Linked DNA regions of Coturnix japonica. The protein of the gene in region 1 binds, or shares a complex with, the protein of each later gene. Links are inferred from orthologs where the notes say so. Each region holds a gene or a part of one and is shown in the gene's direction. Other genes may lie near its edges.

Region 1 (3,816 bases):
GGTTAGTGCTGCAGCTGCTCGCTTTTTTCTTAGAGCTCATGTCCTAGTATCTGTATGGATACAGAGTCGTGCTCAGAAGCATTCTGGAGCCAGCAGGTAGCTGCATGTCTGTATCCCCATCCTTATATCGCAGACCCCTCTAGAATGACTGCTCCTGAAATGTTTCTGTTGTTGGCTGTAGAAGTAGTTGTTGAAAGCGTTGTTTATGTGTTTATTTTCTCCTTTTGTAGATCACAGCAATGGCTCGTTTAATTTGAAAGCCCTTTCAGGAAGCTCTGGCTACAAGTTTGGAGTCCTTGCAAAAATAGTGAATTACATGAAGGTATGGTGGTTTCATGTAAAAGTATAATGCTTGGAAATGCTTTATTTTTTCTCTGTGATAGTAAGATGATGCTGAATGTTTCAGACTTTGAGATTTATTTACTGCACAAGACCAAGAATTTCAAGAAACTGGGCTGTTAAAATGTAAAATGCTGTGAGTAAACAAAAGGCCCATTATGTTGCTTCATCACTGGAATCCCAGTTATTCCAGGTCTGCTTAAAAAAAGGAGACTGGTTTTGTTTGCATTAGAACTTGGAATTTGAAGATGCTATCAGCTTTTAGGATTCATGAGCTGTTTATCAAAATAACTTGTAACTTGGTGCTTGACAGATAATTTTGTCATTTATCTCAGCTGATACAAACTGATTTTTCTCACATCTTTAGAGGCCCGAAGTTGGTACTCATATGCTCCGTGTGCTGTGTCTCTTGGTTTCACAGAAATTACTGTGTCATCACCTTCTGCCAGTTTTTTGTTACCCTGTGGTAATTGAGCTGCTGAATAAAGAACTACAGATCACTGATAGATCCTCTTTGTTTTCCAGACTCGGCACCAGCGTGGTGATACGCATCCATTAACTCTAGAAGAGATTTTGGATGAAACACAGCATTTAGATATTGGACTCAAACAGAAGCAGTGGTTAATGAATGAGGTAAAGAAAAGCTTTTGATTGGACACTGGAGGATAGTGATAAACTTGAACTGTATATGTTTATTTAATTACAGACTCTATAAATATTGAAGTTCTGCTTTTGAGAAGTTGCATTGATTCATGATTTGTCTTGTGCCTCCTGCTATTGAAATAACTGAAATGAAAGCTATTCTGACGTTTTTAAAGGGTCAATTAGAATTGCTGTTAGTAGAGCAAAGAGTAAGTTGTAATTGAGGTGAACTTCTTATTGCTAATCTTATACATGCAAACTGTTGTTTTTTTTAAAAGAAATTTCTTCTAAACAGAGTTCAAGCAGAAAGCCCTATCACTATCAAAGATTTCAAATTACTTAAGTGAAAGCCTTAAAACTCATACTCTCAGATCTTTGTTGTTTACTGAATTGAAGAATTCTGTTGTGAAATCTGTGTCTGGAATTGTGGGGTAATAGATCTCAAAGTTCCCCTGCTGGAGTTCATCAGTTTCATGATTTATGTTAGGTTTCATTCTTGCAGAGTCACTGCAACTTCCTGCTGTGTTCATCTTCGTGCTTAATTGATCCAAATGCCATCATGGCATTTCAAGACTAGTAAATCAACAAAACCCTGTATTTAGTATTTATACTTCAGCAATATCTGGTTTTGCTGATATTATACTTAGAATCCTTGCAACAAAGTAGTAAAGGTTGTTGATACATGCAGGGGGGTGGAGAAATCTCTGTAGTAAAACTAGGATGTTTTAAGTTATGTTTTTAATTAATACTAATATTCTGGAGAACAGAAAACTGGCAATGCTGCTATCATGAAAACTTGGCTCCACTGAAAGCTTTGAAGAGTAGCTCTAGGTTGTTTCCATAACAAATTAGAATATTGAGACTGAACCAAAAAGCTTATATAAGATTATCACTGCGTCAGTAATCCGTGATGGTACCGCGTGCACAGAAAAACTGATTTGGATCAGATCTTAAGTCGTTTCAATTGTCCATGAGACATCTTCACTCTGAAGCAGCACCATGAGAATGTTGTGCTGTATGTTGCAGTGAGTTATGCCCAGGCTGGATCTCAGATCCAAGGATTTAAAATTTGTTTCAAATTCAAACCTCCGAACTGTCAGCTATAACACATGGCTGACATACTGTAGCTATTGAAGTACTAGTTTGTTCTCTCTTTCAAGGTTTAAAATGTATATTTCTATTACAGGCTCTAGTCAATAATCCAAAAATAGAAGTTATAGATGGGAAGTTTGCTTTCAAACCCAAGTACAACCTGAAAGATAAAAAGGCTCTGCTCAGGCTCCTGGACAAGCATGACCAGCAAGGGCTGGGAGGAATCTTTTTAGAAGAAATAGAGGAAGGGCTGCCCAATGCACATAAAGCTATAAAGGTGAGTCACTCTTGTCTGGGCTTCAGCAAAACTCTTGGATAGGTTCTCAAAGGAGAGGTAAAAGCTAAGAGAGAATTTTCTGAGTTCTTTTTGTTCTTGTGGTGACTCAGAAGATCTGATTTAGTACCTTTTTCTGTACGTCGGCCTTTATGTTTAGAATTGACCTGACAGCACAGCTGTCAAAGCTTTCTTACAAAAGGTGCTTTATCTACTATGTTGCAACTGAAGGCACTTAATTGTGCTTTCATATCTTGATCTCAGCCCTCTATATCTTGTCTTTGCTTTATTAATGCATTTATTGATGGTGTCCACTTTGGTTGCATTTTGTTGCTTGTTATTTTGCTGCTCTCTGATTCATTGATCTCTTTGTAGAACAGGATCTGGGTCTGTTATTCTTAAAATAGAACTGATTTGGGGTCCTTTTTTTTTGCATTTGTTTTAAAGGCTTTAGGGGACCAAATTCTCTTTGTTACCCGCCCTGATAAGAGGCAACTTCTTTACTACAATGACAAGAGCTGTCATTTCTCTGTGGACGATGGTAAGTGTTTATTTACATCTGCATCCATGGTTTAAATTCAGCTTAGACAGCTGAATGTGAAGATAACAGGACTAGCAAACGAGTTCAGGGATAATAACCTCTGTTTTCTACTGAATGCATTGGTACATGGCACCAGGAACCCTACAATTCAAGTGTAGCTGAACAGAAAAGACTAAGAGTTGTCCATCTGTGGCTTAGATGACATCGAATATTTTGCTGCAGAAAAGCAGATGAAGAACAGTGGAATTTCTTTTGGGTTTGTGTGCTGCTTTTTGTCCCAATTTATTAGTCATGTACTTTTGTTGGTGAATGCAATGAGGAACCAGGAATTGAAGAAAAGGAACAAGCAGACTGGGAGGAGATGTGAGCAAAAGTACTGGGAAGAGTTGGTTTACGACTGGGAGGGCACCCTGAGTGTGGGCTGGTGCTGCTGTCTAGAGCTGGGAGTGGAACTCCAGAGCTTCAGCCTGTATTTTTTATCTTACAAATAGTGGTAAAGTCCTCTGACGTGAGTGTGCCTGTTGGCTGAAAGCAGCAAGAGGACAGGTTATACAATAATATATGTATTTACAGAAATTAGTTACGCCTGTCAGGGTGTGTTGCAATGATGACATCAGAGCCAATATCAGATATCTGTAAGTACAGAAGGGAGAATGCATTCCCTGGTAACAGACCTTATTTTAAATGGCTCAGGGACGCTGAATACTTCATGTTGATCACTTGTTGTTCCGTAACATGCCACATGAAGCCATATTCCAAAGCGTCACATGATAGTAAAAGAAGGAAAAAGTTGTCATCAGACCTTAAACAGCTGTATGTGCAAGGCCATAGAACAAAACGTAAAGCTCTTTTGTCTTAGAATAACTCAGAGGAACTCTTTATTTTAAACAGAATCAAGCAGCTTCTTTGTTCCATACCAGCCTTGGAT
Region 2 (3,415 bases), on another chromosome or scaffold:
CGTGCCACCTCCATCATCTCCTCCTTACCCACATGGGTAATTGGCAGCCTGGTGACAGACAGACTCATTAACAGCTTAATTTTGGCTCGCTCTCTTCCTGCCCAACCCCAGCCTTAGGGGGGCCGCTCAGTGGGGGGATGTCAGCGCTGCACCCCATAGCACCGCAACATGGGGATGGTGCCACCCCATAGCACCGCAACATGGGGATGGTGCCACCCCATTGCCCGATGCCAGCCAGCTTCTCCCCAGGTCTGTTTGCTCCATAACGGCGGTGCCGCGGCTCCTTTGTGCCCGCAGATAAGAGGGGCCGCGGCCGCCTCTGAAGCACCGCTCCCACCCCCGAGCCGGGCAGGCTTTGGGGAGAGGGCAGGGATTTAGGGTGCAGGATTTGGGGCTGCCCAACCACCCAGGTGCCGCCGTGGCTCTGCCACCTGCTCTGCCTCTGTGTGCAGACCCCATCCCCATCAGCCCTTCACTCCAAAGCCACGGCCCCATCTCCATCACCATCCCCCCCATCAGAGAGCACTGGAGGCTGTGTTGGCCCCCCAATGCTGCCCCACCGGATGGAGGCCTGGCCGCCGTTCAAAGCCGTGCTCATGTTGTATAATTTATCAGTGAAAGATAACAGCCCCACGGCTAAACCTCCCCACCCACACACAGCCCGGCACTGTGAGCAATGGGACTCCCAGCCTGGGGAGAGCCCACATGGAGGGACCCCCGGTGTGTCCTACTGTATGCTGGGATGCTTTGGGGTGCACCAAGGCAGAGCTGTGCCCCCCCCCCCCCCAAAATCCCTTCATATATCCCGGCGCACCGGGGGCTGCAGAGCACCTGGGGACGGTCTGTGGGATCCGTGCAGGTTGGGGGCGGGCTGAGGGCTGGTGCTGTGTGCTCTGAGCGGCACCAGGTGCCGGATGGGCTTGTTTGGCTCCAGATAAGGAGGAGACGGCGGCACCGGGCAGGTGCTATAGTGTGGGGGCTGCCCACCCCAACCTCGGCTCCTCGACCCCGGAGGTGCGGGGCCGCCAACCCGGGTCCCTCCGTGTCCCTCCGTGTCCCTCCGTGTCCCTCTGTACCAGCGCATCCCTCCGCTCACACAGCCCGGCCGCATTGAGCCCTTTGGGGAGGGGGCTGGCGGTAGGAGCTGGGTGTCACCGGGGATGTGACACGGAGGGAAGGTGACGCTGTGGGGTGTGACACGGGTGGGCTGTGGGGTGACGCTGCTGCCCCCCGCCCAGCTCCGAGCTCCGTCCCGCCGTGGATCTGCCCCGACCCACGCGGTTCGATCCGCGGCCGCGCAGCGCCCCCTACCGCCCCCTGCGCTGCAGTGCGCCCCCCCAGCCTGCAGGGGGCGCTGCCGGCGGCGCTAGGACCGCGCGGGCACCTCTGCCCGCCCACCACGAATGAGGTTTCCGGATGTGGAAACACGTCATCACCGTGCGCCGCAGCGGGAGCCGGCGCGGGAGCGAAGGGGCGCCGCCATGGCCGGCATTCTGTTCGAGGACATCTTCGATGTGAAGGACATCGACCCCGAGGGGAAGAAGTTCGACCGTGGTGAGATACGACCCCCCCGCTCCCCGCCCCTTCCTCCCACCCGGGGCTCCGAGGGCCGGGCCGGGTGCGGCGGGCCCTTCCCGTTGACGCCCCGTCCCGGCCCGCTCAGTGTCCCGGCTGCACTGCGAGAGCGAGTCGTTCAAGATGGATCTGATCCTGGACGTCAACATCCAGATCTACCCCGTGGATCTCGGTACGGGACGGGCGGGGAGGGGGGGGGGGGCAGCTCCGGCTGTGCGCTCTGAGCGCTGCTTTGTTATCGCCTCCCAGGGGACAAGTTCCGTCTGGTCATTGCCAGCACCCTGTATGAGGATGGGACGTTGGATGATGGGGAGTACAACCCCACTGATGACCGGCCCTCCAGGTAACGTGGCTCGCAGTGGTGGGAGAGACCCCTCCTACAAGGGGCCTCCTCGCAGAGGATGCTCTGTTAGGGGATGTGGGAAGGATGGTCTGACGCTTCTCTCAGCTCCCCTCATGTCATTGCAGGGCGGACCAGTTTGAGTACGTGATGTATGGCAAGGTGTACAGGATTGAGGGGGATGAGACGTCCACAGAGGCAGCCACACGCCTGTGAGTGGCTGTTGAGAAGGGGACGCGTTGCCTGAGGGTGGTGGGGAGGCAGCGTTATCTTGACTGGGTCTCCTATGGGTTTCCCTGCTCTCACTGCTCCTCTCCTCCTGCCCCAGCTCTGCTTATGTGTCCTATGGGGGGCTGCTCATGCGCCTTCAGGGAGACGCAAACAATCTGCATGGGTTTGAAGTGGACTCCAGAGTTTACCTGCTGATGAAGAAGTTGGCCTTCTAGGAGATGATGCACCTCAGAGGGCTGCCTGCCCCCAGAGACATTCTGTTGGAGAGCAGAAAGGACACCATCACCCCAAATCCTGCCCCAGCACCTTTGCTGCCCAGTCCCTCCAGTGGTGGTGGAGGAGGGGACTTTCCCCCTTTGTCATCCCAGTCTTTTCTGACTGTTTCCCTTCTGTGCAGGGGCTGATGCCTCATTCTCAGTGGAGACCGTGGGTGCTCTGTGGCCCTGCCTGCTGATCTCACCTTCCTGCACTTCAAAAGCAGGCTTAGCCCCAGCTCTAACCAGGGGCCGCTGGACTGGGGCACTCACCTGTCTGTGCTAGGGCTGGGCATCATTTTCTAAGGAGCTGTTCTGAGACAGATGTGGCTTCTTAATTAAACTGCTATGTGTTTTCTAGATGTGGTTGTTGTGGCAAGGTTGGCTTCCCAGAATGCCGGTTGGTAGATGAAGATGGGATGCTCATGGAGGATGTTGTGGTAGCAGACAGCAAAGGTACCACATCAGGGGCACTGGCTTTCAAGCTGCAGCTCCTGGAGGGGCTTGGCCTAGTCTGAGTGATGCTGTGTGACCCCAGAGCTCAGCACAGTGAAATTGGCAGGTGGATACTGGAAGGCAAGGGGCATTATTATCTCACATCCCCAGCTGAGCCCACCTGCCCTGCAGAGATGGCAGCCACCACAGGAGGGAGCTGGACACTGGGAAAATCAGGAGCGTTTGTTCCCCAGCTATTGCCTCCCCCAGAGACTGGTGTATGCTCCTTAGGCCAGTGCTACAGCAGGGGGAACAGGAAGACACAAACAATCCTTTAGAAAAATAGGTCTTTAATTGTAAAGCATTCACAGTCTGATAGGAGCAGGGCATGTGCCTCGTGCTGCACAGGTATGGCTGCTTTTGACCTCTGTGGGCCGTGTGATAGCCAAAGGCTTGTGGAAAAGGAGCCAACCCTTTCCCCGTGGCACCTTCCTGGGCATCCAGAGCACGGCTCCTTCTCCTGTGGGATTGCTCTGACCTTTTATCAGTGTTAAATCCCGTGTACAGCTTCATCAGTCCC

The links.
Region 2: GTF2E2 (region 1) and POLR2H share a complex: the UniProt entries of both Homo sapiens proteins name them as parts of the TBP-based Pol II pre-initiation complex. The link is inferred for Coturnix japonica from reciprocal best matches to the Homo sapiens genes GTF2E2 and POLR2H.

The regions. Positions count from the first base shown.
Region 1 is NC_029519.1:30,644,566-30,648,381, forward strand, and holds part of GTF2E2 (transcription initiation factor IIE subunit beta), read left to right. Parts: intron 1-230; coding exon 231-322; intron 323-864; coding exon 865-972; intron 973-2,167; coding exon 2,168-2,350; intron 2,351-2,794; coding exon 2,795-2,888; intron 2,889-3,816. UniProt on the Homo sapiens protein: Recruits TFIIH to the initiation complex and stimulates the RNA polymerase II C-terminal domain kinase and DNA-dependent ATPase activities of TFIIH. Both TFIIH and TFIIE are required for promoter clearance by RNA polymerase.
Region 2 is NC_029524.1:13,963,106-13,966,520, reverse strand, and holds POLR2H (DNA-directed RNA polymerases I, II, and III subunit RPABC3), read left to right. Parts: upstream 1-1,417; 5' UTR 1,418-1,481; coding exon 1,482-1,554; intron 1,555-1,663; coding exon 1,664-1,747; intron 1,748-1,824; coding exon 1,825-1,918; intron 1,919-2,043; coding exon 2,044-2,127; intron 2,128-2,243; coding exon 2,244-2,361; 3' UTR 2,362-2,762; downstream 2,763-3,415. UniProt on the Homo sapiens protein: DNA-dependent RNA polymerase catalyzes the transcription of DNA into RNA using the four ribonucleoside triphosphates as substrates.